4 linked regions of the Elephas maximus indicus genome follow. The protein of the gene in region 3 interacts with the protein of the main gene of each other region in a biochemical or structural test. Links are inferred from orthologs where the notes say so. Each region holds a gene or a part of one and is shown on either strand. Other genes may lie near its edges.

What was found.
Region 1: the proteins of ABL1 (region 3) and XPO1 interact in a test that uses a peptide from one of them, tested with the Homo sapiens proteins (2 studies listed by BioGRID). The link is inferred for Elephas maximus indicus from reciprocal best matches to the Homo sapiens genes ABL1 and XPO1.
Region 2: of the proteins of ABL1 (region 3) and ATR, one has a biochemical effect on the other in vitro, tested with the Homo sapiens proteins (2 studies listed by BioGRID, with this or other methods). The link is inferred for Elephas maximus indicus from reciprocal best matches to the Homo sapiens genes ABL1 and ATR.
Region 4: the proteins of ABL1 (region 3) and CRKL form a complex in vitro, tested with the Homo sapiens proteins (4 studies listed by BioGRID and IntAct, with this or other methods). The link is inferred for Elephas maximus indicus from reciprocal best matches to the Homo sapiens genes ABL1 and CRKL.

Annotation. Positions count from the first base shown.
Region 1 is NC_064844.1:728,505-736,197, forward strand, and holds the start of XPO1 (exportin-1), read left to right. Parts: upstream 1-4,674; 5' UTR 4,675-5,401; intron 5,402-6,035; exon of another isoform or gene 6,036-6,258; intron 6,259-7,693. UniProt on the Homo sapiens protein: Mediates the nuclear export of cellular proteins (cargos) bearing a leucine-rich nuclear export signal (NES) and of RNAs.
Region 2 is NC_064841.1:17,232,753-17,240,714, forward strand, and holds the start of ATR (serine/threonine-protein kinase ATR), read left to right. Parts: upstream 1-4,951; 5' UTR 4,952-5,120; coding exon 5,121-5,179; intron 5,180-7,962. UniProt on the Homo sapiens protein: Serine/threonine protein kinase which activates checkpoint signaling upon genotoxic stresses such as ionizing radiation (IR), ultraviolet light (UV), or DNA replication stalling, thereby acting as a DNA damage sensor.
Region 3 is NC_064827.1:81,645,869-81,653,678, forward strand, and holds the start of ABL1 (tyrosine-protein kinase ABL1), read left to right. Parts: upstream 1-4,799; 5' UTR 4,800-6,268; coding exon 6,269-6,404; intron 6,405-7,810. Other genes in the region: EXOSC2 (exosome complex component RRP4), read left to right, coding at 1-117. UniProt on the Homo sapiens protein: Non-receptor tyrosine-protein kinase that plays a role in many key processes linked to cell growth and survival such as cytoskeleton remodeling in response to extracellular stimuli, cell motility and adhesion, receptor endocytosis, autophagy, DNA damage response and apoptosis.
Region 4 is NC_064840.1:21,415,774-21,422,811, forward strand, and holds the start of CRKL (crk-like protein), read left to right. Parts: upstream 1-4,036; 5' UTR 4,037-4,567; coding exon 4,568-4,878; intron 4,879-7,038. UniProt on the Homo sapiens protein: May mediate the transduction of intracellular signals.

The sequences.
Region 1 (7,693 bases), on a different chromosome or scaffold from region 3:
TGGTGACAGAGACAGTAACGCACCATTTTCCGTAAACGTTCTCAACTCTGTCAATTGAGCTTAGTAAGAATAAGGCTGTGATATGGAGTACGCCTCCCTGGTCAATTTTTTCTTGAAAAGAGTATCTCTTCCCTCCCACTCCCGGGGCCGCCCCACCCCACTTCAGCATCCTTCACAGTTATCCAAGTTAGACTGGGAATATTTTTGAAATCTAAGGATGTGCTGTGATGTACTGTTTTATGATGTCTTTTTAAAGCAAATAAAACAACAATTTTCTCATTAGATATTTATAAAAAACATTTTGTCCAGTACTTCCCTTTAAGCCTCACTAAGTACAAACACGTCCCCTAGCTTATTGGAAGAAAAAGCCTGAGGAATTGTGAGTTTGAGATCAAGTCATGAATATGCACAGTGAATTAGACGATGCATGGTGTTTGCTCAGTCCAAGTGCTTGTTCTATGGTTTGTGGAAAGAAATGCGTGTTAGAAGGCCACTGCTGTATCTCTGAGAGCAAAGTGGTATTAATTTTCTTAAAAACAACGAAAAGACCAATTCTGTCATTAGAATAACAGATTTAATGTACATATTTATCTTATTTTTTTCCTACATTATATGGGCATTTAATGTTATCATTTGTGGATTCTTTGAGGTGCTCACAGTCAGTAGAGATTGTCTTCAGAACCAAAAGGTCAAATTAAAATGCAAAGATTGCTCATTTGCATCATCAGACTCTATGATGTGACCTTAAAGAGTGTTCTTGTAGGTATGTGTCATAATTTAATCATCTATCATATGGGAGGAAACCCTGGTGGCGCAGTGGTTAGGTGCTATGGCTGCTAACTAAAAGGTCAGCAGTTTGGATCCACCAGGCGGTCCTTGGAAACTCTACAGGGCAGTTCCACTCTGTCCTAAAGGGTCGCTATGAGTCAAAATTGACTCAATGGCAATGAGTTTGGTTTTGAGTTTGTATCATATGGGAATAACAAATACTGATGGCTTTTATAGGAAATAAACATATTGTTCACATATTGACTTAGGTATGTAATTTGCTACAATCTTTTCAGGGGACACCCTGACAGTACCTATCACAATAACAGATACACATACCCTTCAACACAGTAATTCCACTTTTGGGCTTTAACCTAGAGATAAAGTCACATTTAGGCCAAAAGATAAATGTGCAAGGACATTCACTGGAGCATTATCTGCAAGAGGGAAAACCAGGAACAGCCTACTGTCCTCAGTAGGGATACGGCTGAATCATTTATGGTACTGAAATCACGGGGAAGACTAAGGAGCTGTTAACAAGGATGTGGTGGATTTATACATTCTCACCTGTTAAGTAAGAATCAAGCTGCTGAACGATACGTGTGGTATGTCATACATGTTGAACAAAACACAAAAGAAATACGTTCGTAAGTGCATAAAAAAAATCTCGAAGTATACACATCATCCGGGAGATGATGGTTATCTCTAGGCAGAAAGGGGGGGGTTAGTATGTGAAGGAAGACTCCCACTTTTTACTGTAGATATTTCTGTATTGTTTGAATTGTTAAACATGACCAGGTATTTTTTTTTTTTTTAATTTTTAAAATAGTAATGAATAACAAGTGGTGAAAAAGGAATTTGTGGACTTCTCTTATTTCTGATGAATGTTATTTTGTGAAACAATGTTAACTAGTAGAAAGACCAAAAACATGGGTTCTAATATTGACTCAATCACTGTGGGTGGTATGTTTATGGGAATAAAGAGAGAGGAGAGAAACTAAGAGCTACATATACAGTAACCATCTCATATCTCATCAGGCTGTGGTGAGAATTCAGTGAAATATTGTACCAAAAAGTCTTACAGCTTGGTGGACTCCAAGCAGACATTAGAGTTTACTTACATTTTCTTATCCATATTCCACTCCAGGGTTTGAAATCCGTTCAATTCTAGCAAATAAAGGTAATAAGACAGTATTAGACAAATAATATCATACCTCGTGTTCTGATTTTGATCCTGAAAATACCGTGATGAAAGGTAATCATCTGTCCGTCACTCCTTTTTGCAGTTGTTAATGAGATAAATTTATAATGAATACTCCATCTTCTGCAGAGAACTCTCTGGCTAACTCTAAGCAAAATAGACAGGCCAAATATTTATACCTCATTCACTACAATCAGACAGATATGATCCTTTCAGGGGTGTGATTTAAAGATGGGATAAAAAGAGCCAAAGGAGGGGACAGCAGACTATTTTAACTTTACAAAATGCTTTATGGTTTACACTGCTCCTTCAGAAATATTATCCCATTAGATTCTTAACCCCAGTCTTCTGAGGTGGGCCTGGGCCACATCAGCCTCATTAAAAGCGTAAGAAGAAAACTGAGGCCCAAAGAGGTGAAGTTATTTATCCAAGCTCACATTCTGAGCAAAGCCAGGTCTCACTCCTCACTATTTTTATTCCTACTACATGGCTATCCAGAAAGTCAGTACCAGTGGCCTGGGGGGAAAAAATCTTAAAAAAAAAAAAAAAGAGGAGAGCCCTCATTTTCCTGTTAATACAACCTAAGTATCACAAGTGATTAGTGTATAACATCTTGTATGTCATTGCTGTTGTTAGGTGCTGTCACTTCCCACCCATACCAACCCTGTGTACAACAGAAAGAAACACTGCCCGGTCTTGCACCATCCTCACCACGGTTTGCTATGTTTGAGTCAACTGTTGCAGCCACTGTGTCAATCGTCTCGTTAAGGGTCTTCCTTTTTGCTGACCCTCTACTTTACCAAGTATGATGTCCTTCTCCAGAGACTGGTTCCTGCCGGTAACATGTCCAAAGCACTAAGATGAAGTTTTGCCATCTTTGATTCCAAGGAGCACTCTGGCTGTGCTTTTTCCAAGACAGATTTGTTCATTCTTCTGGCACCCCATGGTATATCCAATATTCTCTGCCAACACCATAATTCAAAGACATCAGTTCTTCTTCAGTCTTCCTTATTCATTGTCCAGCTCTCACATGCATATGAGGCACCTGAAAACGCTATGGCTTGGGTCAGGCACACCTTAGTCCTCAAAGTAATACCTTTGCTTTTTAACACTTTAAAGAGGTCGTCTGCCACAGACTTGCACAATATACATCATTTGATTTCTTGACTGCTCCTTCCATGGAAGTTGATTGTGGATCCAAGTAAAATGAAATCCTTTGCAACTTCAGTCTTTTCTCCGTTCAGCATGATGTTGATTATTGGTCCAGTTGTGAGGGTTTTCGTTTTACGTTGAGGTGTAATCCATACTGAAAGCTGTAGTCTTAGACCATATAAATGATATAAAAAAAATTTTTTTTATCATGTATTATACATATTTAATACTATCGTTAAGCAACGAACAAAAATCCTAGGTCTGAAAGTCACCCACTGTCATTTTCGTAAATCTAAGTCTTGGGTTGTTACCGGGCTTCTTTACTGGCTGGGGAGAGTTATTCTTCAGCGGTGCTTCGGTGTCAGCTATCGTCCATCCTGAGAGCTGCTGAAGAAAACTGCGTTGATTTAATAAGCCATTTATCAACCTCTTGTTGGCAGAATGGGCCTAGTAAGTTTTGGTGGGCTGCTGTTTCTTAAGCATAGCAATCGGTAAAGCTGATTTGGAGGGCACTTGGGGACAAACGACAGGCAACCATGTAAATTGTTACAGGCAACCATGTAAAAGAACATATACCTGTGACTTTCACAGAAAATACTATTTGATGATGACGTACGTAAAGGGCAGCTAAGCTGAAAAGAAAACCGAGAGTGGGGGCAGCCCAAGGGCACCAGGTGGGAGGCGGTTGGCGTGCAAGCTTACCCAGCAAAAATACTCGTGGTTAAAGCAATTACAAGGGTTACAGGGTTTAGTTCTTAGGATCACCCAAATGGCAGCCCAGGGAGGCACAAGTAAGATTTTAAAGAGATTCCTGCGCAGGAGCCGCTCGGCCATCTCCTCCCGGGCTCTGATCACGAGGCGCAGGGAGAGCACGCCCCAGCCTCTCCCAGCTACTCTCACCCCCAGACTCAGGCCTCTAAGGCGAACTGGAGGGGCTCGGGGCCACGACAGGTCTTCCCGCTACCACCCCGTCCTCGACTAGGAAACCGCCGGGGGTGCCCTCCCTTTTCGGGGCGCAGCCCCCACCCGAGGCCCCCGCAGCTTGGCGGGAGCAGCCGGGGGCGGGCCAGCGCGCCGGGAAAGCAGAGCGAAGCCGCCGCGCGCCGCGCTCAAACTCGCGCCGCCACCAGCTCCGGAGCGGCGCCCCACCCTCTCCGTCACCAAAGGCGCCCAGCCAATGAGCGAGCCGGAAAGGCTGAGCCTGCGGGCTACGCACGGGGAGGGGGAGCGGCGGGAGGGGGAAGGGAAGTGGGGGCGGGCTGCGCTTGATTGACAGCTCGCTGGAGCCAATCCTCCACGCGGCTTGTCTTGGTTCTCTACTCGGCTCAGCTCTTCGCCCCACCTCCCTCTCCTGCGGCCCCCCCCGCTCCCTTTCGACCCCCCCACTTCCCCTCCCCCACTCTGCGGGCAAATCGCGCTGGAAAGAGGCGGGGGCCGAAGCGGCGGGCTCGTGTGGAGGCTTGAGGCGGGACTGACGGCTGCACCGGCCAATCGGAGCTAGGCTGATGGCGCGGCTGTGGCGGGAGCCGGCCAATGGGCGGGCGGGCTGGGGGCGGAGGCCCAGGTTCCAAACGCTCCGCGGCGCCATGGGCTGAAAACTCAACCGAGATGGAATCTCCCAGTCTGAACCGGTTGAAACCGGTTCCGAGTTTGAGGCACTAGGAGGAGGGGGAGAAGCGGCTGCAGCGGCCGCGGCAGGAGCAGCGGGAGCTACAGCATCAGCAAGAGCCACAGTAGCGACAGCGCGGCGGCCGTGCCTGCTCCGTCCTCGCTGCCGCAGTCCGTGCCGCCGCCCGGAGGGGAGGGGGGCCCCGGTCGCTGAGGAGAAGGGGGGAAAGTTTAGGCGAGCCTCGGCGGGGGCCCGCGCCGGAGCCGCGTGAGGGAGCCGCGCTTCGGCAGGGGGAGTCGGACTGCACCTGGCAGCGGAGCGTCCCCCGCCGTGTGGACTCTGCGCCCTCCTGCCGCCGCCCGGGCTGCGGGGTCCCCGGGGCTGAATCTGTGGGACTCGACCGCTCCCCTCCCCCTCCCGACTCCCCGCGGGCGGGAGCGCCGACTCCACAGACTAATTCCCTTCTTTTTGGGGGGCGGGTGGGTGTGTGTGGGGGGAGGTGTCCCGGAATTGTAAATATTATTGAGCCTTTTTTTCGCCCTTTTCCCCGTTTTTTCGGTTTCCCTTTTTAAGGTGGGAACACTGTGAATCCCACCTCGGCCCCTCTCCCCTCCCGCCTCCCCTGCCCTCGCCCCGACAAGGAAGGAAGCAGCAGTTGGTTCGCTCCCTGGGTAAGTCGGCCGGCGGGGCGGCGGGCGGGCGGCGGCGGGCGGCGGGCCGGGGCCGAGCGGAGCCGCGATGAATGGAGGCGGCGGGGCGGCCGCGTGTGCGGCGGCGGGGAGCCCGGGAGGGGAGCCCGGGAGGGCACGGCCGCCCCGGCCCCGCGGGCTGCGCGAAGTTGGGGGACTGCGGGAGGACCTCCGTAGGCTCTGAGGCGTGGAAGTTTCCAGAAACATGTAGTGCAGCAGCCCTGAAGCGTCCGCCCGCGTCACGTGGCCCTCGGCGGAGGCTCGGGATCGGGAGGGACGGAGGGAGGGGCTGCGAGTCCCGCTTCTCCTGGCGGAAACTCGGCGGCTTTGTGGCTCTGCGGAGCGGCCGAGGGCGGCTTCGGGGCCGGGCCGCGGCGTCCCTCGTGGGGCGCGGCGTCCCTCGTGGGGCCGCAGCCTCGCGCGCCCGCTTCAGGGCCGGCGGGGTACCATGGGGGATGCCCTGCTTCTGCTCCCTTCCAGCAGCCGAGTGTGGGGTGGCGGGAGGGGGGAAGTGGTGTGGGGAGGAGGCCTCAGGCTGGGCCCGGCCCTGCTGCCCTCCCGCCGAGGCCGTGCTGCGGAGGGCCCGGGGGGCCTGAGGCGGGAGGCTGGGGGCCCGGGGGTCCGCAGACCTCAGCGCCGGGCGGGCCCTTTGGGCACCTCGCTCTTCGGCCCCGTGTGGGCTTGTCACTGCCGCCGTGACGGTGTTCGGGGTCTGGGGCGGGAGCTGGCGGCGAGCTGCCCCTGTGGAGCCTGAGGTGGCGGTGGAGGCATTTTGGCAGTCACTCGTGGAGTCACAGCTATGTCGGCTGATCCCTGCGACGTGCCATCTATGCCATCTAGTGAGTGGATCTTAGGGTCGCGGCGCCCCAGGAGAGGAGAGAGCGTCTGGGGTGTCTGTCCTTAGGCTCTTGCTCTTGGCTGGCTGCGGGATCGTGTATCCTGAGAGCGGGGCGCCGCTCTCAGTGGAAGAGTGTTTGGGGAGCCGGTGGACTTGGGGGACGGAGTGCCTGGCATTTCTGTCCTCCGACGGCTCGGGAGTAGGCAGGTCGCTGGGAGGACCCCGCCGGCTGAGGGCGGCAGCTGCCCGCTGTGAACACGGGTCTTCTCAACCTGCTTGTCCGCCCGGGGGCGCGGGGGACTCCTCGGGGACGGGAACCTTGGGAGGAGTCGCTTCATTCCTGTAAAAATACCACAGGTAGAGCTGCATAGAAAAGTAAAAGTTTGGTTTTCAGCCCCCCCCCCCCAAATTAGAAAATTTATCATGTGTAGAGTTTGGTACTTTCTGGGCAGTGCTTTCAGGTCTCGATTTTTAAGATATTTCTGACCTAAAGTGGGGGAAAATTTACGCATTTCTTTGTGTAGTGTTCTGTTTTTTTATGTTACGTGTTGAGTTTTAAGACTTTTTTTGGGTATGACAGGTATTTTGCTGTTTCAGAATTGTGTGTGATACCTGTTATAAAAAAATATGATGTCCCGTCAGTTTTAGTTGTCAATAATGGGCCAGAAGACTTCAGAAGAATAAAAATGTCTTGGAACTCTTAATATCTCGATGTTTACATTATGTCTGACTTAAATGACTTCATATTTTAGACTAATAGTTGTTGTAATTGAAATTGCTGTTATTGTTGTTAAACGTTTTTTGAACTACTGTGAAAGAGCCTTAGAAATCACACCTTTCCCCCTGTCAAACTAGTTTGTCTAAATATAATGCCATCAAATTATCCACTGTCTCCTGATAATGGAAGGTTCCTAAGAGGGGAAGAAGTGGAAGTGGCCATCCGCCCTGGTTGGTTGTAAATACCGTAAACCAGGGGTTCTTAACCTGGAGTTTTATGGATGATTTCGAAGTGTTCTGAATCCTCTAATTTTATACAAAATTGTGAGGTTTTTTTTTTTTTTTAATTGGGCAAGAACTATAGTGTTCTCTGATTCTAAGGCATCTTGACCCAAAAAAGGCTATGGAGTTGAAGGGCATTAAGTTTGAAGAAAGCAAGCTAAGATGTTCTATAACACTGAGCAACCAAAATGTGCCTGAGTTCCAGCATGGTGGAGTAGAATTCTCTTAAAAGGGTAATGTTGCGAATAAACCAGTAGGTTTTAGCCAGTGCGTTTATTAGAGGCCAAGTAATGATGTCTTTGTTACGGTATGGTTTGTTTTCATTTGGAAAATACATAGTTGGTGAACTGAATACCTGGACGTTTTCTCAAATCTCACTTGGCCACAAAGTTTTCTTTTTCCTAAACCATGTATTCAAGGATTTTATATACTTGTAG
Region 2 (7,962 bases), on a different chromosome or scaffold from region 3:
ATCAATATTCTTTAGATTTAGTTACATGAAAGCCATTGGTGACTTTGACGAAAGGCACTTAATGGGGAAGAGGACAGGGTTGAGAGTACATGGTGGGTTTAGGACTGAGTGGGAGGTGAAGAAATAAAATCAACTGGTATGAAAACTCCCCCAAAAAGTTTGGTGAAATAGAGAAATATGAGGGTAACGGGGGGAAGATGCCTGCTTGGAATGTTGGCCACCTGTGACATCAACTGCTTATCTACTGATATACTGCTAAGGATGTTTGATTTCTCTAAGTGACCTGCTGCCCTCCTTTTATTCTGTCCTGTGCCCTCCTGCTAGGTTAGAGATTAGCTTAGACTGCATTACTCATTAGAGAAAATCTCCCAGTGCCTTTCTGTTGCTTACTGAAATCTGTCCAAGTATTTCTGTCTAACTACTCTAAATGTTTCTTAACATCAGTCAAGAGGGACCACTCATCTCTCAGTGCGCTCTTTAATTTTTGCTCATACTGCTGCCTCTAGTGAGAATATATTCTTCTTCCCCAATCTTTGTCTCTCCAAATCCTACTTATTCTTCAAGCCCCATCTCAGATGTGGTGCCATCTTTTCCTTGAACTCCTTCCTGATCCAGCTCCTCTCTCTAGCTGAGTAGATAGAATCGCTTCCTCTATTTTTCTAGTGCCTGCTGTTTATATCTCTCTTATGGTATCCATCAGGTTTTGCTTTGCTTTTGAGTTCTCGATACATCCTTTCTATACCCACAGAGTACATATCACTTCAGACTGACTTTATCTTCATTTTTGTGTCACAGAAGTACTTAGTACAATACCTTACACAAAATGTACTTTTTAAATTAAATGGATTACTGAGCCTCTGTTACAACACTATTCAGCAATTACCTTCTAGACAGCACTGTAATTTTTGTACTCTTTCTTCACACGATTTAAAAATAATAGCTAATATCTGTTCCTTCTTAGTTGACAATGTTTTTCACATTATCTATCTTAAGCTTTAAAAAAATGTATTTATTTTTTATACATTTTTTGAGATATGCTAACCATACAGATGATAATATACCATCACCCAGATGTAACAAATGTTAAATTTGTCGTGATCACTTCAGACATTCTATTAAGAGAAAACTCTTATTCATTTCTTTCCCTTCTCTCCCTCCCCAGAATTTCCATTACCCTGGAGTTGATGTGGAAACCCTGGTGGCACAGTGGTTAAGTGCTATGGCTGCTAACCAAAAGGTCAGCAGTTCGAATCCACCAGGCGCTCCTTAGAAACTCTATGGGGCAGTTCTACTCTGTCCTATAGGGTCACTATGAGTCAAAACCGACTCAATGGCAGTGGGTTTTTTGGGAGTTGATGTATAAGCTTCCCAACCATGTTTTTGTAGTTTTATCCTATATGTATGCGAACATAACAAAGTATTATTTTGTGGTTTCAAAAGTATACAGAAATTATATAATGCCGTTATGTATTCTTTTAAAATATTTTTAGTGTGGTGAACTATACATATATACATATATCACAAATCATTTCAACCATTTTTATGTGTACAATTCAGTGACATTACATTCCATGTTTCACAACCATCACTACTGTTTCCAATTTTTTTCATCACCCTTAGCAGAAACTCAGTACCCCCTAAGCAATGCCTACCATTTCCCCCTCTCACCCGCCCCTGGTAAGAATTAATAAATTTTGGTCTGTATGCACTTACCTATTTCATATACAAAAAAACCAAACCTTTGCCATCTAGTCAACTCTGATTCATTGTGACCCTATAGGACAAAGCAGAACTGCCCCATATGGTTTCCAAGCAGTGGCTGGTGGATTTGAACTGCCAACCTTTTGGTTAGCAGGCAAGCTCTTAACCACTGCACTGCCAGAACTCTCCTATTTCATGTAAGTGGGATTAAACAATATTTGCTCTTTTGTGTCTGATTTATTTCACTCAGCATAATGTTTACAAGGTTCATCCAGGTTGTTGCACGTTTCAGAATTTCATTTCTCTTTGTGGCTGCATAATATTCAGCTGTACGGATATATTATATTTTATTATCCATTCATCTGTTGATGGACACTTGGGTTGTTAATACCTTTTGGCTATCGTTAATAATGCTGCAATGAACATGAACCCAAACCAAAACAAAACCCAGTGCTGTCGGGTCGATTCCGACTCATAGCAACCCTATAGGACAAAGTAGTACTGCCCCACAGAGTTTCCAAGGAGCGCCTGGCAGATTCGAACTGCTGACCCTTTGGTTAGCAGCTGTAGCACTTAACCACTAAGCCACCAGGGTTTTCATGAACATGAACACTGGCATACAACTATCTGTTTACATTCATGCCTTTAATTCTTTTGTATATATACCAAATTGCTGGGTGTCTTAGTTATGTAAAAAAAAAATTACCGCTATAATAGAATTACCACAAGTGGATGGGTTTAACAAACAGAAATTTCTTTTCTCACAATTTAAGAGGCTTGAAGTCCAAATTTGGGGAGCCAGCTCTAGGGGAGGCTTTCTCTCCCTAAGCTCTGGGGGAAGGTCCTTGTCTCTCCAGCTTGTTTCCTGGTTCCTTGGCGATCTCCACGTGGCTTGCCATCTATCTTCCCCCATATCTGCTTGCTTAACTTGCTCCTTTTAATACCTTGTGAGACACTGACACAAAACACGTGCTACACTAATCCTGCCTCAGTAACGTGACAAAGATAACCCATTCCCAAATGGGATTATAACCACAGGCATAGAGGTTAGGATTTATAACACATATTTTGGGGGGATACAATTCAGCCCATAACACTGGGTCATAAGGTAGTTCTAAGTTTTTTAGGAACCACCATACTGTTTTCCTCAGCAGCTGCAGCATTGTACAATTCCACCAGCAATGGATGAGGGTTTCAATTTCTCCACATTCTCGCCAACACTTGTTGTTTTCCTTTTCTCTAATAATGCCCATTCTAGTGGGGGGTGAAGGGGTATCTCATCGTGGTTTTGATTTTATTTATCTCTCTTATGACTTTGAGCATCTTTTCATGTGCTTGTTGGCCACTTCTTTGGCGAAACGTCAAGTCCTTTGCCCATTTTTTAAGTGGGTTGCCTTTTTGTTGTTGAGTTGTAGAAATTCTTTGTTATGTATCCTTTTGCAATTTGCTTTTTTTCCGCACTCGATATTGCTTTGAGGATTCATCCATTTGGTATGTATCGTACCCTTCATTCATTTAAACTATGAAATGGTATTCCACTATATGACTCTAAAAAAAAAAAAATGACTCTACTACCTCTTAATCTTTACTGCAATCTTTTGCAGTAGATATTAATCCCATTTTATACATGAACAAATCTGAAGTATGGAGAGGTTATGAAACTTTCTGAGATCATGGTTTCTAGAAGATGGAATGAGGACTTGTACAGGGTCACTAATTTGCAATCCCATGTTGTTTTTTCCACTATACCACTCAACAATTAATTCAACAAATACTTAGAGAAGATCAACTACGTGCCAGGCACTGCATTTCAACCTAGAATCTAGCAGTGAACAAAACAGACAAGACATTGCTCTCCAGGAGCTTAAATTCTAAGTGGAGGAGATGATTAATCAAATAGTATGGTTCTAAGTGCTATGAAGGAAAATAAGGTAGGATGAGGGGAACAGAGCGTGTGAGTGTATACGTGTTGGTCTATATAAGGAGGGGCTCTTTGGGGACACCTGGAGGAAGGGGACAAATAGGGACAGGCATTCAAGGTCAAGGCAGAGCACACAGCAAATGAAAAGGCCCTAAATCAGGAGCATGTTTGGTTGTCATTCTAAACTTTGGAGGGTTTTTTTTGATACTGTATCAGCAATTATTTCATATGCAAAATAAAAAACAAAAAAGCAAATGTAAGCACACTGCATGGCTTTACCTGGTTAAATATGTATTTTTGACACGTCAGTAGTCTCTTATAATGGCCATTTTTCAAGTAAACAAATTGGGTTGAGCTAGACTATGTCTAGAGACAAAATCTATTGATTTACTTTAAAAATTAAATCACAGGTAGTAGATGCCCATAAGTGACATAAACATACGGAGTATTGCTGCTGACTTGATGAGGCATACAAAAACAACCCAATCTCATTTTTAAATGTTAAAGACTGGGGGGATCCTCAAGGAAACATAAGAGTGTCTTCCAAGGAGAAAATATTGCTGAAATAGAAAGGATATGGACAGGGGCGGATTATCCAATAGGCAAGGCAAGCATGGTGCTCACCTTGCTTACCAGATCATCTGTAGTGAGCAATTTCACATTCCTTCATCACATCAAAGATCCTGCTTCTAGGTATGGCTGGCATCTCTCTCCCAACCCCACAGCACCTTCTGATACAATCAAACCCTCTTTTCAAATTTACGATCCCTGACACAGACAGATGACCCAGTAAGCAAGATAAGCACGGGCTTACTTGTGCTTACTTCCTATTCTGTAGTGAACAACTTCACAGAAACCCATATGAAATTGTTCATTACAGATTAGTAAGTAAACACAAGTAAGCCCGTGCTTACCCTGCTTATTGGATAATCCTCCCCTGGATAGGGAGGAACCCACCTCTTGCTTGGATTCTCTCAGAAAGGATGCCAAGAGTGTGGTGGTAAAAGGAACAACGAAAACCTGAAGGCAGGTTCGTAGGTCGGGGAGGGAGTCACGCCCTGGGGAGACCTGGCCTCTAGTCTTGGTTCTCAGTCATTCAGTGTTCTCAGTTCTCGCGTTTATGCAGCCAGGGCGTCTGGGCAGTTCCCTGCCAAGCCTCCTTCTCCCCAGATCCCGCGGTCTTGGTTTCTGAGCCTCCCCGGCTGCGAGCAGCAGAGTCTTCCCCTCACAGTCAAGGCTCCGCGCCTCCGGCCCGCGCGGCGCTCGGGAAAGCTGACCGACGCGCCCCGCCTCTCTCCCCGCCCCTTTCGCCCGTCGGCCTCCCCCGGGTCCTGTGCGGAAAGGAAAGTCGGGCCTGGTGAGCGGGACCAGCGGCGGCTTCCGGGAGGAGGTTTGGGCTCCACGGGACTCCGTCGGGCCCCGCATTCCCGCCAGAGGCAGCGGTGCAGACGCCGGGAGTCCGTGTGGATCTCCTTGCCGAGGGCCGCGCCGCCTCAACATGGGCGAACATGGCCTGGAGCTGGCGTCTATGATCCCGGCTCTGCGGGAGCTGGGCAGGTAGGGCCAGGCCGGCTGTCTTCAGTCCCTTCGTCCCCCACCCCTCCCGTCCTCGGTCCCAGCCGGCGGCTCACGTGGGGCTCCCCCGCTCTGCAGCGCGCCGGCTCCGGTCTCCTCAGCACCGGCCCGGGCCCTGTGGAGATGCCCGCTGGCTGAGCTGGGCGCTTCTCCCTCAGAGACCGGGAAAAGACCCGAAGCGTAGCCGGAGGCCTGAGGGAAGCCGGTCCGAGAGGAGGAAGGCGTCTGCCGGCTCCACCTCATCTCTGCCGCGGCCCGGAGCTTGCCCCGACGCGGGGTGAGGGGGGTGCCCTGCTGCAGCCGGAGAGAGGGGTCCCTTCGGGTCACTTCCTGGTCCGTTTTCCACACTCAGTTGCTATCGAGCGTTTTGGAATTCATGGTTACACCGTGTGTGAGAGCAGAGCCCTGTGTGCGCCGTACGGTTTTCCTCCTAGCCGCCTCTGGGTAGACTCAAACCTCTAACGTTTGGGTTAGCAGCCGTTGTTTGCACCGCCCAGGGACTCCTCGTGTTTACCTCCACTTGTCAGCCATACAAGCACATTTAGTCTTTTTCAGTTACATAAATAAGGAGATAAGAGACCTACACCGTTCTTGTCCCGATTGCATCACCCTATTTTTGTGTGTGTGAATTTTTTCCACTTTGCACAAATGTTGCAAAGATACTTTGCATTAACGTTCTGTAAAGTAACGTCTACTTTTGTAAAAAAAAAAAAAAAGTAAAAGTGCTCTTTTTATTAAGTCGAAGTACAGATTTTCTCCTTCAGGCTCATTGTGAAGTTCCTTCTGTTTTTCCCACCTTGCTTTTTTATGTAATGTAGAATTAGCTTCCCTCTTTTCCTCCATGAGATTTATTAATAAAAGTAATAGTATCTTGGATTTATACTTAGTCTGTTTCATCAACAGAGATTATATTACCTTTCATTTTATTTATTTGTAGCCATTTCAAGAGAAAGAGTAGAAAAACTGACCCATATAGAATTGTCTAAAAACGGACACTTCTCACCATCTTTGTTGCTATCACCATAATTTGTTATCTGGAGTATTACAGTAACCTCCCAGCTGGCCTCTCCATTGCTACTTTTGCCCGTGTACAATCTATTTCCCACTCAGCAGCCAAAGTGATTTTTTTTTAACTATAAATCATACTCTAAATTATATAATATTCCTCCCCTGCTCAAAACCTTCCTTTGGCTTTCTAGCACACTTAGAATACAATCCAAACTCCTTACAAGGCCTCTAAGGTCCTGCATAATCTGGCTCCAGCCTGCCTCTAAACTCACTGCTTTCTGTCCCTGCCTTGTTCATTCTGTTCCAGTGGCATTGACCTTGTTTCTCATACACCAAAGTCATTCCTGCCTCCAAGCCTGTTTCTTCTGTCTGAACACTGACTGGCTTTGTTCAGATGTCGTTTCAGAGATGCCTTCTCTGACTTCCCTATTTAAAATTGCTTTGCAATCAAGATATTTTTAGAGATTGATAGTTGCAATTAAAGTGTTAAATGGCCAGTGGGATGGGGATGAAGATCTTGGGTGCAGCAACACAAGCCACTAGAGGACACCTGGATGATGACCTGGGAGAGGAGTGTTTGAGATGGAATAAACTCATTGCCATCAAGTCGATTCCGACTCATAGAAACCCTATAAGACAGAAATGCCCTGTGGGGTTTCCAGGGAGCAGCTGGTAGGTTTGAACTGTGGACCTTTTGGTTAGAACCCTTAGCTCTTAACCACTCTGCCACCAGGCTCCTCCCCCTTGTATCAGAAAAAAAAAAAATCTGGGTGGGAAGGAGCCTAGGTTTTAAGGAATGGAAAGAAGGCTGGAACATACTGAATGAAGAGGGGAGTGGTATAAGATGAAGATCGAAGGACAGGCAGGGGCCAGATTATTTAGTGCCTTACAGACTAAAGAGTTAGATTTTATTGTAAGTGCAGTAGGAAGCCTTTGAAGCTTTTTAAGCAGAGACATAACAATTGAATTTACCTTTTAAAAATGTGTTTTATCTTCTCTCCCCTTCCTAAAACCCTTCGATGTCTCATCGCCCCCTGTGCAAAATCCAAACTCCTTAGCTGGTCCTCTGAGCTTTGACCCCATTTTACCTTCTAAGCTTCATCCTCAGTTACGTCCTTTCCCTTCCTAGAGCCCTGGTGGTGCAATGGTTAAGCACTTGGCTGCTACCTGAAAGGTTGGCAGTTTGAACTCAGCCAGCGACTCTGCGGGAGAAATACCTGGCAGTCTTCTCCTGTAAAGATTACAGCCTCGGAAGCCCCATGGGGCAGTTCTACTTTGTCATATAGGGTTGCCGTGAGTCGGAATTGACTTAATGACACATGTCAACAACAGAGTTCCTAGAGCAGGCCGTGTTCTTGTTGCTGAGCCTTTGCACATGGCTCTTTCCTCCCCTTGGAGCACCCTCCACTTCTCCTTTGTGTGTTTCAGGGTGATGCAAATGGTTTGTGCTTACCTGCCAACCAAAAGGCGGTTCGAACCCATCCAGTGGTCTGGTGAACTTCTTTAAAGATCACAGCCAAGAAAACCCGATGGAACAGTTCTACTCTGTAACAGATGGGGTTACCATGAGTTGGAATCGATTCCACAGCAATGGGTTTTGTTTTATTTTTCCCTTATTTTACCTGCCTGACCCCTTAAGGACTCAGCTTTGTCTCGCCTCCTCCAGAAAGCCCTGACAGATAGGCCCCTCATCAGGATTGAGTGTCCCTTTTGTGTTCTTTCTTGGCGGTATTTGTACTTAACCATACTGTGTTATA
Region 3 (7,810 bases):
TACTGCTATGAAGCGTCCCTTCCACATCAGGTACTCCGTTCAGGGCTTCCCTCTTCTTCGCCGACCTGTGAGCAGGCATTAGGTGTTCATCCGTCAGCTCCAGTGTTTCCACAGTGACACAAAGTACATCTTCCCAAATACCTTTACCATGTCCATCAGTATGAATTGGTCTGAGGGGCAGCCTTAATGAGCATGTGGTAGATCTTCCCCTAGATACTTGCATTATTCTCAGTGCCTTGTGGGGTAATGGTTAAGCCCTTGGCTGCTAACTGAAAGGTTGATGGTTCAAAGCCACCAACCCCTCTGCTAGAGAAAAGACCTGGTAATCTGCTCTCATGAAGATTACAGCAGTTCTACTCTGTCCTATAGAGTTGCTATGAGTCAAAATCAACTCAATGGCACACAACAAGAAAAGTATCAACCTGAAGATTTAGGGAGATGGACGTTCCAGATGGGATTAGTTTATGACAGCAACCCTTTGGACTTCATCTTGCCCATCCCAAATTTAATGAATGTCAGAATAGTTGTTCTTGTCAGCTATATCCCATAGAATCTTGCTGATGTATTAAGCTAATTCTAGCAGATCATATCTTGAAACACTTAGCCTCTGTAAGGGAAAGGCATACAGAAGGTTTATATTAACTGTGTTTGGTTTCTAAGTTTGGATTGGCTTGGTGATCTGCTTATGGTTGGTTTCTTTTCTGTCAAATGCCTTTTTCCTTTTTTCAGATCAAAGACATCTTAAAGCCAGAGATAATGGAAGAAATTGTGATGGAAACGCGCCAGAGGCTGTTAGAACAGGAAGGATAAGGAGAGGCACCTGCAGGACAGGACTGTCTGTACCTGGCTGAAGCCGTTCTAGAAAGTGAAGAATCAAATTGATGGTCCCCATGTGCAGCCCAGTAAAGAGCTGAGAAACTCATCACTTGATGTGCATCAACAGCTGTGGGCTGCCACCAGCCTACATACCTGCTTCCTCCTTCTAAGAGAGGACTGGGTGGAGAGGTGAACAGTGCCTCTGGCCCTTCTGGTAGGCTGAGTCCCAGCACTAGGGGGTAGTTTCAGGTCTTTGAAAGCGTGCAGAGTTCCAGCGAAATGGACTTCCATCCTGGAATAATGTGGAGGATCCTTTGTCTTCCACTCACCATCATTCAAAGTGCACAATACCCCATGAAATTGCCCCTATAAAACACATGGCATCTCTGACCCCCAAAGTGTCTTTGTCTCTATTTCCAGCTCTAAAGTGCAAGTACAACATTCCAGTTAATCTAGCAGTCAAATGGAATAATAAAGTTAACCAAGCCGTTGTTCGCTTGGTTTGACTCTTATTTCCCATTGAATGTTTTTTCTAGTGATGGCTGAAAATATATCCGCCCCTTAACCTCTGTCCTGCCTTGAGGGGTGAGTCGTAAGAAGCTGAATTATTATCGACAGCAGAGAGAATGAATGTTCTGGATCCATGTACCTTTGGGTGTTGTGACAAACATGAAGAAAACAAAGTAAGAAAAACAGATAGAAAAAGAAAAGCTGTTTTCCTCCTGTCATTGAAGTAATGCATTTACTTTTGAATTAATTTGAGGTTAAAAGATAAAAACAAGGTGTTGATGTTCTCACCGAGGGATTGTTTTTTCTGACGACTGCCTAAAAATGGTGCCCTGATTTAGGTTGTTGGGAAACATTTTTTAAAGGCGCTGTTTTAAAGGGCTGTTTATTTCAAATATGTGGTAAACTACTTTTTTATATTACAAAGGTGGTGTTAACACCATTGATTTGTGTTCTGTGTAATAATTGTAATAACAGGAGGATTTAGTGAATATAAGTTCCTTCTGACAGCTCCTGACTATACTTGGGTTACCTAATAATATTTGGCCTTATGTTAGTTTCAATGGCAGTAACTTTTGAACACTGCACTGCGCTTGAAAAATGTGAAGTACAGATTCGCCCTATCTCATTAAATGGTATTTTTTTCCTCTTATTACTCAATGGGCAACTTCTTATGTCACTTTTTTTCTACCCCACCTTGTATCACTGGTTTTCATGAGTTTGCAGACTCATCAAGATTCTATAGGCTATGCTTTAACTTTAGATTTTCTCATTTGTTGTATTTTTGAGAAAAATTTCCAGGCCTTAAGCCTTTTGTTAGAAGGGAACAGGAGGGTTGGTGTCTGAGTGCCAGTTTTGGTTTTGACTAGGGCCATAGCGAAAGCTCACTGAAAGTTTATCCTTATCACTTGGTCTTTCCCAAGGTGCCAGGCCTATGCTGCTCATTCAGTGTTGAATCGTGATTGCCTATTAAGTGGAAATTAATAGAAGGTTTGAAAGCACCTTTTGGTGATTATTTTTTGTGGCCCACTAGAGGGCACCCTTGTTAAGTATAATTTCAGTAAGTTTAAAAAAGCTGAAAATTTTACACTGGTGCTGAATTTCTTTAGCAACCTAGTGGGTTTGCTTTGCTTTATAAAAGCGAGAACAAAATTAGACTCAACTAAATCATTGTTTATGAAAAGGCTTTGAGCTTAAAGGGATTTAGTCAACATTTGGTAACATTTATTTGCTTTTGACAGATATTTGCTGGGCTCTGGATCCAACTTTCAGTCCTCAAAAGTATCATTCTGTAGTGCTATACAGGAAGTAAAAAAATATAGTGCCTCTCTAGAGAAAAATATTACAGCCTGGGCTTGGGGTTCACCTAAAACTAACAAGCAGTGGAAAATGGACATTAGCGGTAATAAGCCTTTAGGTGAAGTGCAGTTGATCTTTACATTGCCTATCATGAAGCATGGTCTCAGTCTTTTACTGTGGAAAATCAAACAGTATCTAAGATGATCCTCATGATAACCTCATAAAGTAAGCAAATAGGACCCCCACTCATAGGCGAAGAAATAGATGGAGAGAATTAAAGTGATTTAAGCCCATTAGCAATTGTGAATAAGATACATATTTAAGGTTTAGAGAGGTATTATAAAGCCCTTCTTTAGAGTGTGGGTTGAGACTGATACTTGGGTTTGTTACTTACTTTGTGTACTTGCTGTCCCTTCGCTATGAGTCGGAATCGATGCCACTGGGTCTGGTTTTCTCCCATGTATGCTTCATGAGGACAAGTATGTTTTTTCCCCCACTGCTGTATTCCAGCTCCTAGAACAGTGCTTGGCACATCATGTGTGCTCAAGAAATGCTTGTTCAATGAATGGTAAATAAACTGTTCAAGGAACATGTATTGGATCTGATTTGATTGCCCAAATTTAAGCTAAATTAGAGAATGAAGATACATGAAGATGTGGAGGAAACGAGTAAAGCATGAATAGGAATCAAAACAAATTTTCCAAAAACAAAAATGGGGGAGGGGGGAGGGGAATAATCAGGATTATGGGAAAATAAAGGGGACCAAGGGTGTTAAAATTTGAAGAATGACTCAAAAGTTGCTACACTAGACGTCAGTCAGATATTCTGCGACAGCAAAGCTAAGCCAATTAACATCTGAATTTGTACATTAGTTAGAAATCTAGGCACATGTTTTCATAGCTTCACCTCCAAGTGACTCCTTTCCCCCTGAAGGTAATACCTATGCAATCACAGCACCATTTTACGTTCCAGCAAAAATATTTCTAGAATACATAACTCATTTGTTGGGCTAATGTGTCACCTACATATAGCAGGGGAATGTACAACACTTATAATGGGGCTGTGGCTTCCCCCTAATCAGCAACTTCTGAAAAATCTATTGTTTAGTATTGCATCAACAGTTATTTGATAGTGAAAAAATGGGGAGTAATATTCCACGCATTATTGCACTGTAATGAGGATTAAGTGAAAATGCAGTTGATGAAAAGTGCTTAGTAACAGTGCTGGGCGTAGAGTAGGCGCTGTGATAAGTAGATCTCCTTAGAAATGAGTACATCCCGACCACATGCAATGCTTTGAGGAGACAGGGATAGGGAGCCAGGGTGCTTTTCAGTTGCGGAAGATGGGTTATGACAGGTGTGTTTGGTGTGTCTGGGTCACTAATTAGCCCCGCAGCCCTGCGAAACTCAACGATCTGGGCTTTACCTCAGCTAACATGGATATTTTTATGGGTATACGAGTTCATCTGTGAAACGAGGTTGTTCACTCTTAAAGGTTCATTCTAGCTCGAACATCTTTGAACGCGCCTGGCAAAGCCTTGGAGAGGTGCTTAACAACTGCAGTTTGTTAAATGAGTGAGCCTCGTGATACCCGGAGAAAGCAAACAATTGCATTCGTTAGCAATACGTCGGATGCTTTCCAGCTATATTTTTCACTAGCTCTAATATTTATGCTTCTTGGGGAAAAGGTGGAAATTTGGGTGGAAAGGTGAAAAAGGCACCAAATAGTCTTCGTTTCCAGGAGCAAGCCAAATTTTTTCCCCTAAAGAAGCTTAAGGAAGTAATCCAACTCCGGTTCGGGGGATAATCCAATCCGCAGTTTTCCCCTTACTTTGGCTCTTCGCCGGTTTTATTACTTGCGAAGGGGAGACATTGGCCAGCCCTACGCGAGGCCATCTAGTCCACGGTCTCCCAGGAAGGCGGGACCGAAGCTCAGGAGTTGAGAGCAAAGGGCAAGAAGTACCGGGTGCCGGCCAACAAGAGCGGGCTTCGCAGAACCACAACTCCCGGCCTGCCCTGCGGAATACATCGAAAGTGGTTGGTTGGGAGCTCTAGCACCATTGCACCTCTGGCCAATGGGATGGAGGAGAGAGGCCTGACCCCGATTCTCGGGAACCAATGGCAGTACAAAGGAGGCGGGTGCTTCCTTACTACTCACCTTGCCCCTCAGAATAAACCACTTCTAAGAGGTTGTGTTGGTCCAGATTCTCGCAGGCAGCGAGACCAGAGCCGGAAAGTGCGGCGGCGTCCCTCGAAAGCTGGTCCAGGGGCATCCCGGTCTTTGAGAGGCGCGCTCCGGAAGCCCTAGGGGGCGGGGACAGGGGTGGAGCCTGGCCTCGTTGTGAAGCTGCTCGTAATCCATCATGGCGGCCGCGGGGGTCGATGTCTTTCCCTGAGCAGCGCTGGAGCCGGAGCCGGTTCCCGGGTCCTGCAGCTGAGGAGCCCCTCCGTTGTCTACAGCCCCTCCCGGCGGGGGGAGGCTGGGTTCCGCGGCCGAACTCGGGGGATGTGACTGCCTGGTGGCGGCGGCAGCCGTGGCAACGTCCGGGGCCGAGGGAGGGGGTGTCTCGGGCTGAGCCCCCTAGGCTCGGGGCAGCTGAGGCGGCCGGGCCTCCTTAGCCCCTACACCGGCTTCCGACTTCGGGGCCGCGAGGGTACTTAGTCCCATACAGCCCGTCCGGGCTTCTCGGGTACTGGGGGTGGCCTCTGCTCCCCCCCAGACCTGAAACACCCCGTTTACTGAGAGGTGGAGGAGCATCGCCCCGGAGTAAACCGCCGGTGCCCCGACCCGGCAGCTTCCTTACTCCCAAGCCGCCTCTTGCTCCCATTCCCGGTTCCAGGTTTGGCCGTGGAGTTCCCCCCAGATTCAGATTCCCTCTCTGCTGTCAAGTGACCTCTCCTTCCCCCCAGGTTGCTCCTGCAAGCCTCTAATGCCCTGACTTCCAATGTCACCTACGGCCCCCTCGGTCTCAGCCCAGCCAAAAACTTTAATGCAAAGGAAAAGTCTGGACTGGTTTCACAGGCCTTTTAAAAAGCGAACTTAAAAGTTGCTGGCAATGCATTCCTTCTCGACAGAGTGAAGGGCAAGCTCTCGCTGAAATCTGGGTGATCCGTGTCCTTTTCCGGACAGAAGGGTAGAGAAGCGGGAGCAGCAGCCAGTTCGGCAGGAAATTTGTTGGACGATGAAGAAACTAAGATAGGGGGTGGGTGACTTGCACAGGAAAAGTTCTGGAGGAGCATCTAAAGAAGATCAACGTTTCCTTTACATGTGGGAGTTCAAATGACTTTAGTATTGTTGACCCTTTACAACATTCCCTGTGAATATTTTTAAGTTTTTCCTCTTGAAAAGAAAGACGTTGATATTCAGTCAGTAAAGGACACTTAAAGTCAAACTTTTGGGTAACATTACAATTCCATTACTTCAAATTGATTAACCGCAAAAATTATTGGAACTCCTGTTTACAAGAGTCAACCTAAGAACTGTGCTTCACTCTTGTTTTGGAAGGTGTCTTTTTGTGATTGACCTCAATTACTGACTTGTGGAGATGCGGTGAATGTGAAATCCCACATATATACCATTTTCTTTTTAAGCTTACTGACTGTTCTGGAAGACCTTGAACCCTTTTCTGGGTGCCTAGCATTACTTTATGGGGCAGCAGCCTGGAAAAGTTCTTGGGGACCAACGAAGGCCAAGTTTGCCTGCCCTGCACTTTATCAAAGGAGCAGGGAAGAAGGAATCATCGAGGCATGGGGGTCCACACTGCAATGTTTTTGTGGAACATGGTGAGTGCTTTTTAAGGTTCCTGAAGTTGTGTTTTTCCTTATGTCTGCAGCTTAGGTCATCAAGGAACTTTTGGATAGTGTTCGTGCTAGTTCATTCCAGTACTGCTTAAAGCTTCTGTTACTGTAGTCTTAGTTTCTGGTTGAACTTTCTTTGTGTAAGAAAAAGCTATGGTTTTATTCAAAATCTCTTTGAATTGCTTATGCCTTTCCTGATTGTGATTTCAATTCACTGTTGACCTTGGACAAGCCCTACCATGTGGTTCCAGGGCCTCAGTTTTCCTGAGGGTTGGACTTCGGTGGTTTCTTAGGAACCATAGTTTTATGATTCTGCTCTAATCTAGGGCATGGGCTCTTCACCTGAGGTGCATACACATGTCTGGGCTGTCTGTGCTTTTATCTACAGAGAGCTTTTTATCATATTTCAAAGTGGCTTGTGCTCCCCAAAAGCTTAAGAATTGTAAAACCTAGTTGACACTAATATCCTTGACCTTTTCAGTCGTAAGTAGCTCACTTTGGAGCTATGTGGGAAAAATCAAGTGGGGAAGCAGCATTCCTTGTGAACTGAGAATACACAGCGTCTAGTTATTTTGCCTTAGCGGAAGGAATAAACCTTTCCCCATTGAATGAGCGTTCATCCTCCTCCCTCTCTGTTGGGAATGACTTTTTGGGCAAAATAGTTTGTATTTCACGTTTTTGTGAACATAATGCCGACAGTACAAATTATACCATTCGCTTCCAGTAATTCTGTGTGAAATTAAAGCTAAGGGTTGGTTTAAACTGACGTCTGTAACAGAGGCCAGTGCTGTTGCAGCCTGCTGTTTTTGTATTGTGCGTTTTATGTTAAATATCCATTGAGCCCACCAGTCCTGTAAGCAAATATAAGATATGTGCAGGTGACACGTACTTTGAAATTCTGTCACAAATACTTCTTAACAATGGATGATGCAAGTAAACAAAGGCCTCTGCTCAGTGAACTTGTAGTTGACAGGTATTCACCTCATCTAACTAAATTTTTTACAGACGGGTATTCACCTCATCTAACTAAATCTGGGTAGTTGGATTTTACTTTGCCTTGAAACATTAGTTATATTTTAACATTGGTTTTAGATATGCAAATAGGGTAATCCATTACCTTATGGTGCTTCTTAAAGTCAGGATTTAAAAATGGAATTCTTTACTTTTTAATTAATCATGGTCATGCAATCTTAAGTAGTAGAAATTGGTACAGACATTTTGGAGAGCTTTGGCAGAATTTATCAGAATTTAAAATGCACATACCAGTGACCCAGTAATCTCACTTCTAGGAAACTAACCAAGTATAGAATGGCATAGTGCCTAGATGTCCCTGATGCCCTTTCAGGCAATCAAGACGTTAAACTCTTTTTGTATTAATACAATACTAGGAT
Region 4 (7,038 bases), on a different chromosome or scaffold from region 3:
TCAAAAGACCTGGTTTAAGAATACTGGCTCTATGTTGGTGAGAATGTGGGGAGACTGGAACCCTTATCCACTGGTGCTGGAAATGTAAAATGGTACAACTGCTGTGGAAAAACTGTATGGCAATTCCTCAAAGATTATAAAAATAGAATTACCATATGACTCAGCAATTTCACTCCTATGTACATACCCTAGGAACCTAAAAGAAATGACATGAACACTGATATTCACTGCAGCATTATTTATAATAGCAAAAAGGTGGAAACAATCCAAGTGTCCATCAACAGATAAATGGATAAACAAAATGTGGTACATACATACAATGGAATACTATCAAGCCTCAAAGAAAATTTAAGTCTTGTCACATGCTACAATATGGATAAACCTTGAAGACATTATGCTGAGTGAAATAAGTCAATCACAAAAGGACAAATATTGTATGATCTCACTTAATGAAATGACAAGAATAAGTAATTACATAGAGAGGAACGATTACTAGTGGTTACCGGAGGCAGGGAGGCAAAGGGGAACTCATGCACTGGGAAGTAGTGAATTTTTGTCTATGGCAATGGGAAAATTGGCATTGACTAAGGGTAGTGGTTACACAACTAGACTAATGTAGCTGTTACCGTTTTAAGCTGTATGCCAGGTTAAAAAATAAAAAAAGGTCAAATGGCAAAAAAGCATTGTACGTAATTTTACAACAGCCAAAAGATTAAAAAAAAAAAAAGCTGCACCTGTTGATACTATAATACTTAGATACAATTAAATACTTCATTGATTAGTTTTTTTGGTTCAAAGTCATGACTTCATGGGTCTATCCAGTCAATTGGTTTAACGTTGTTTTTAGAGTTTTTTTCTACCTCGTTTGATGAGCAGCCCCTGGGGTCTTAAAAGCTTGCACAAAGCCACCCAAGATACAACTGATCTCTATTGTTCTGGACCAGCAGAGGAAGAAAAAGACCCGGGAATCGGTGAAGGAAATAGTCTACAGGCTTAATTGCCTCCATAAACTACTACCTCCATTAACAGAGACCAGAAGAAATGGATGATGCCTGACTACCATTACAAGATGTTTTGATCATCCAACAGATGGATCCTGATCAAGTGGAGGAAAAGCAGGGAACAGAACTTCAAATTCATATGGAAACCAGACTTACTGGATCCATTGAGACTGGAACACCCAAATCTAATGCCCAGAAATAATCTTTAAATCTTGCACTGAAACTATCCCATTAAGTCACTGTTAAACTAACAGCTTAGCCCAATTACTAAAGAATGTTTGCCTTGAGCATTGATTCTTCTAAAGAATTATCTGTGTGAGTTTAAACTGACAACCGTTAATCTAAAGCACAGATGAGAACTTCAAGGGGCAGACAGCCTAAATTAATTATGATGAAATATGGGTAGAGATAGTAAGAATGGTGACAAATGTCATGCAACCAATGTCATTGAAGTGTTCATGTAGAAATTTTAAATGGATGTATTTGGTTGTATACATGGCCGCCAAAAATAAATAAGAATGGCAGCTCTGCCTCTTGCAAATTATGAAACTTGAAGCAAGTCACTTAGCCTCTCTGGGCCTCTGGATCGTCTGTAAATGCGTACTTCATAGGACTTTGGTTGGATTAAGTAATACAATATGAAGTTTTGTGAACTGAAAAGCAAAATTAGGTATCACTATTGAGTTCTTCAGTTAAGTAAAAGAGGACTCCAATTTTAAGCCTGGAAATTAGGAAAACAGTGGTGTTATTGCCATAAAAGGGGAAGTTGAAAGGCAGAGTTCAATCCAAATGAAAGATTAAACACAGAGGGAGATATGGAGCCAAACTATGTATTTTAAATAAATTTATTATGTTAATAACAGAAAACAATCATAGAATCTCCTTATCGTCACTGAAATAAATTTTTGCTTTTCTCTGGCTTCTTTACTTCATCATATATATTAAAAAAAATTATTAAGTATGTATTATGTGTGGGGCACTGTGCTAGGCACTGGGAATATAAAAAATACTGCTATAGTCAGCCTCCAAAATGCTCACAGATTAGGACGGGACTGATACGTGTAAACATTTACAATACAATGTGATAAGAATTGTATTAGGCTGTGATTACTGTGTTTGCATAGTAATCATAGGGTGTGGCCACTTTCTGTTTTACTTTTAGAATATATGTGTTTTGGAGTTATCAACAGGGAGGTGACCCCTAATGCCTTCAGGACGAGTAGTCTATCAAAGGAGGCACTGTAGAGGCAGATTACGGACTGAGCTTCTACACTCAGGAGCTGGAGACAAAAGTGCTATAGAAAGAGACTGAAAAAGTATATTTGGAGAGGTAGGAAGAAAACTATGTTACTGTTCCAGGAGCCAAAAAAAGAAGTCTTTCCAGAAAGACATTTCCAATATAAACACATGTGGCCAGGGAGATCCAGAAGAATAATGGTTTCACTGGAGATCAGTAATCTCCTTGAAGAGCCCAGTTTCGGTCAAAGTACAGGTAGAAACTAGATCAGGAAGGCTGGACAAGGAGTGGGTGATGATGAATGGTAAAATCTGGCAGTGAAAAGTAAACAGAAAATCATATGGAGGTTTTTCTCCCAGCCTTCACTCACCCATTTAGAGATCTGCACATGCTTTTAGCCTATAGAGGGAGAGGCCCAGGCAGAGGCTGAATAATAATAATGGAAAACTCTTACATAATGCTTAACATGTGCCAGACACTATTCTAAGCACTTTACATGTATTAACTTGCATTCCTTCATACTTACTTTTACCTAGGAGGTAAGTGCTATTATTATCCCTATTTTATAGATCAAATTGAGGCACAAAATGATCAAGTAACTTGCCCAAGCTACCCAGCTAGTCAAGTGACTGAGCCAGGATTTGAACCCAAGCATTCAGCTTCAAATTCTGTGCTATTCAAATTGTACCTCAGACTAATACAACATGCAAGCGCATTTGGGGGAAGATGAAAATTTACTTATGCTGAGTCACTGAAGGCATTAGACCTTGACATTCTCCTTACCCTAGGACGGACTCCACTCGTCACCCTACAGTCTAGGATATGTTTAACCTGGGGGTGCAAACAGCCAAGTAAAATTCCATTGGCACAGGGATCTAGGTATGGGCTTGTGCTGCCTGCTTCTCCCACTCTTGCCTGCCCAGTTCCAGGGGTGATGCTACCAATAATCGGGCACCAGGAGCTTGGTGGTCTTTCTCAATTCTGTCAACAAATATCTGAGCATCAACTCTAGGCCAAGGGTGAACAAGACAGCCAAGATATCTGCTCTCTTAAAATACACATGCTAGCGGGGGTGGAAATAGGTTAAGAGGGCACGGCTGGAGCTGGGTAAGAGAAGGGGAACGGTCGGAGATGAAGTCGGAGAAGCAGGCCGAATCCCAAGGCGTTGGCGTTGTACTTGCAGCAGTTCACCGAGTGATGGCCAGACGCCCTCCAGGCTTCCCAGACCACTTGATCCTGTCAATCCAACCTTCACACCCACCTTGGTGCCCGTACGGTAACTCAACTAACACCTCGGGCCTGGGCCACCTTTTCACCTATCTGGTGACATCTCAGTCCCAGGGTCACCTCAGCCGGCCGGCCCACCGCGTTCCTGAGTCACCGCGACCCATCGGGACCTGTCCGCCTGTCGGTCTCCCTCAGTGCGGGGCCCCTCGGGTCCCTCGGCCGGCCAGGTCGCCTCAGCGCCACGCCTCCCCGGCTGAAGATTCGGCCTATTTCTCCGCATAGCTTCCGCACTTTACTCTTTGTTCCCCAGAAGCAGGTTTTCGAAATGCCGCTCCCCCACGGCTCCAGCTGTTTTCCTGCCAGCGAGGAGGGCAGGTCGACCGGGCGACAGCAGCGCCCCCTGCGGCGCTCCGCGGCCCAGGAAGGGAGTGCCCGCCGCCGCCTTCCCCTCCTCCCGGAAGGCGGGAGCGGGCTCGGGAGGTGCACGCCCCGGCTCCGAGCTGCGCTCCTGATTGGCTGCGCCGCGCATTGTCACCGGGAGGGCCCCGGCGGCAGCTGGGAGTCAGAGCGCTGCGCGTGCGCAGACGGAGCGTGCTGAGCGGAGGGGGAGGTGGCCGGCCGCTTCTCCCGCGTCCGCCATTTTGTTGCTGTGGCTCTTGGGAACGGACTGGGCAAAACTGCCCTGGAGGGGCGACGCTCATTGCAGTCCGGTGTTTCGCGTGGCGGCTGGGGTCGGTGCGCAGCTGTGTGGGGGCGGCGGCGGCGCGTTCCAGGCTGGGAGTCACTGGAGGCACTCCCGGTACGCCGGTCTGCCCGAGACCCGCAGGGCGGCCTCCGCTGGGTCTCGCCTTCGCCAGCCCCGTCCCCCGGCTCTGCTCCGCGTTCCCCGGGCCGGCTTTCTCTGTGAGGCGGCCCCGGAGCAGGCGGGCGGCGGCGGAGAATGCTGCGGGCCCGGCGCCGCGAAGCAGGTGCCGGCCCAGCCCTCTGAGTGCGCCCCGAGGTGTGCCGGGAGGCCCTTCCTCGGCTCCGAAGCCATCTGCCAGGCAAAGGCTTCCAGAGCAGCCGCCACCCCGACCGTCCACAGAGCCCCTGGCCCGACACCATGTCCTCCGCCAGGTTCGACTCCTCGGATCGCTCCGCCTGGTACATGGGGCCAGTGTCTCGCCAGGAGGCGCAGACTCGGCTCCAGGGCCAGCGCCACGGTATGTTCCTAGTCCGCGACTCCTCCACCTGCCCCGGGGACTACGTGCTGTCTGTGTCCGAGAACTCGCGGGTCTCCCACTACATCATCAACTCGCTGCCCAACCGCCGCTTTAAGATCGGGGACCAGGAGTTTGACCACTTGCCCGCCCTGCTGGAGTTCTACAAGATCCACTACCTGGACACCACCACCCTCATCGAGCCCGCGCCCAGGTACGATCCCGCCCCGCCCCGCCCCGCCCGCGGACGAGGTGGGAGAATGGACAGGCTGGTTCGCTTGGGGCCGAGGAGTGTGGGGGATGGTGGTTGGAACTCCTGTCCCCCATTCGGAACCAAATTATTTTCCAGAACGTATTCCAAACAGAAGGTCTGTGTGAGGATCTGGGTCACTGTGGATGAGAGCATGCGTTTTAAATATGTTTAACGGTGGTTGCATAGTTAAAAATGTACGCCTTTTGCCTTTTGTCACTTTGTCTATTTGGCAATCACACGAAAACAGGGTTTTGTTTGTTTTTGTTTTTTTAACCTCTTTCTGGACCACAGACTTTTTTGAAAATCTGAAGATAGCCATAGTATCCTCCCCTCTCCCCCAAAATGCACGTACACACGTATGCACACCGTTCGAGGTTCTTGGGCTCCTTGCGGATCTCTGAGCTCCCGGTTAAGAACCCCTGAACTGCAACCTTTGAACGGTTGAGAAATGAATACGCTTTAGCGTTTAGAAACAAAGACCTTAAGCTGAAGTATCAAAATTGTATATTGATAACCCGGCGCTAAGTTTGACATGGGCCAGACATCTTTTATTTTACAGTACTATAAATTACCAAATAAATAAATAAAAGATACTTTGGCCTCAGCGAGGGCCTTTTCTTTTTTGAAAATGTGTTTTCCGTTTTCTTCAAGCTGGACTATTAATAGGTTAGAGATCCATTTGGTTAAGTCCCGAGGTGGAATAAGGCTAGCATGTTTACTAAGGGAGATTTTTGAATGGCACTTGTCTTAATTCTATCCTAGTTCAATTTCAAATGTAATTTCTATTTTAAGTCTAGTGATTTTAATATCTGCTTTTAGGTTAAGAACCCACAGTGACACTGAGCATCAAACATCCTCTTTTCCAAGTAAAATGCATTGTCTTACTTGACCATTTGCTTTAGTTTGCCGTAATAAGTATTTTATCCGGTTTCCTGATACTGTGAAGTTTCTTTTGCTAAAAGAATGCTAAATATGAGTTGAAGAAATTGTGTAAAATTTTTTTAACTAAAAGGTGTTTCACTACCTGATTTGTTTGTTAAATATGTATTTTAAAAGGATAAGGTATTGGAGTAGATTTTTCAGGTTTAGATGTTTCTGACTTTTCATAGGTAGATAACATTTTATTTATAAACTTTAAACACTGAAAGCTATTAAAATAAATTACGGAGCACTAACGGAACCAAATTTTTGGTTCTGTGGGATAGAGACACACAAAACAAAGCCGTGACAGTATAGTGCCTTAAGATTAACTGCTGGACAAAATGGACCAGGAGAATGTGATTAATACTCAAATACTGTTAAACAAAGACCAGGACACCAAGAATCTAACTGGTGGAAACCGGTAAACTTTGAGTACAATGTAATTCTAATATAAGGGGTTAGACAGAATCTTGGAACCCACTGTAATGAGATTGTAATATAAGTAAATTAACTTTCCTAATTTGTGAAGGTGAATGATGTAATTAATTTCAGGCATTTATTCAGCCTTGGTATGTGCAAGGTCTTGTTCGTACATTGAGGTTACGGGTACTATCATGTAGATGTTTCAAAAAATGGGAGCGAATGGGACAATCCCCTTCTAGAGGGAAAAAAGAGTATGCTTCAATGACTCCCACTCCCACAAAATTGAGGCCAGGTTTTCCATAGATGTGTCTTCCCAAATACCAGATGTGTCTTTCTGTCTCCTTTGCTTGCACAGCCCCTCTCATCTTTCCTTTAGCATAGCCCCACTAGTCTGCTCCATTGTCCCCTGGTTGTCATCCCAATTCAAACCTTTATGCCTTTGCCTGGGCTGCTGGATCTTCATTGAATGCCTGCCTCCGCCCCACACTTCCCTATTGAAATCTTACCTGTTGTTCTAGCCCCCTCACAAATAGTGGACCTTTTCCTGACCCTGCAGAGCCAGGCCCTCCCTCTCACAGTTCAGCTTTGTTTCTCTCTGTGCTGCCACTCCCAGCCTGTTGCTGTAATTTAGGTGTTCATTTTCCCTGTTATCTCAGGCAGTCACAATGCACCTTGAATTGGGTCCTGATTAGATTTACTTTGTTACGCTGAATCTTTGAATTCCCTCTCCCAAGCTTGAAGTTTGACATGTTAGATTTGCCATTTGAGAGTTGGTTT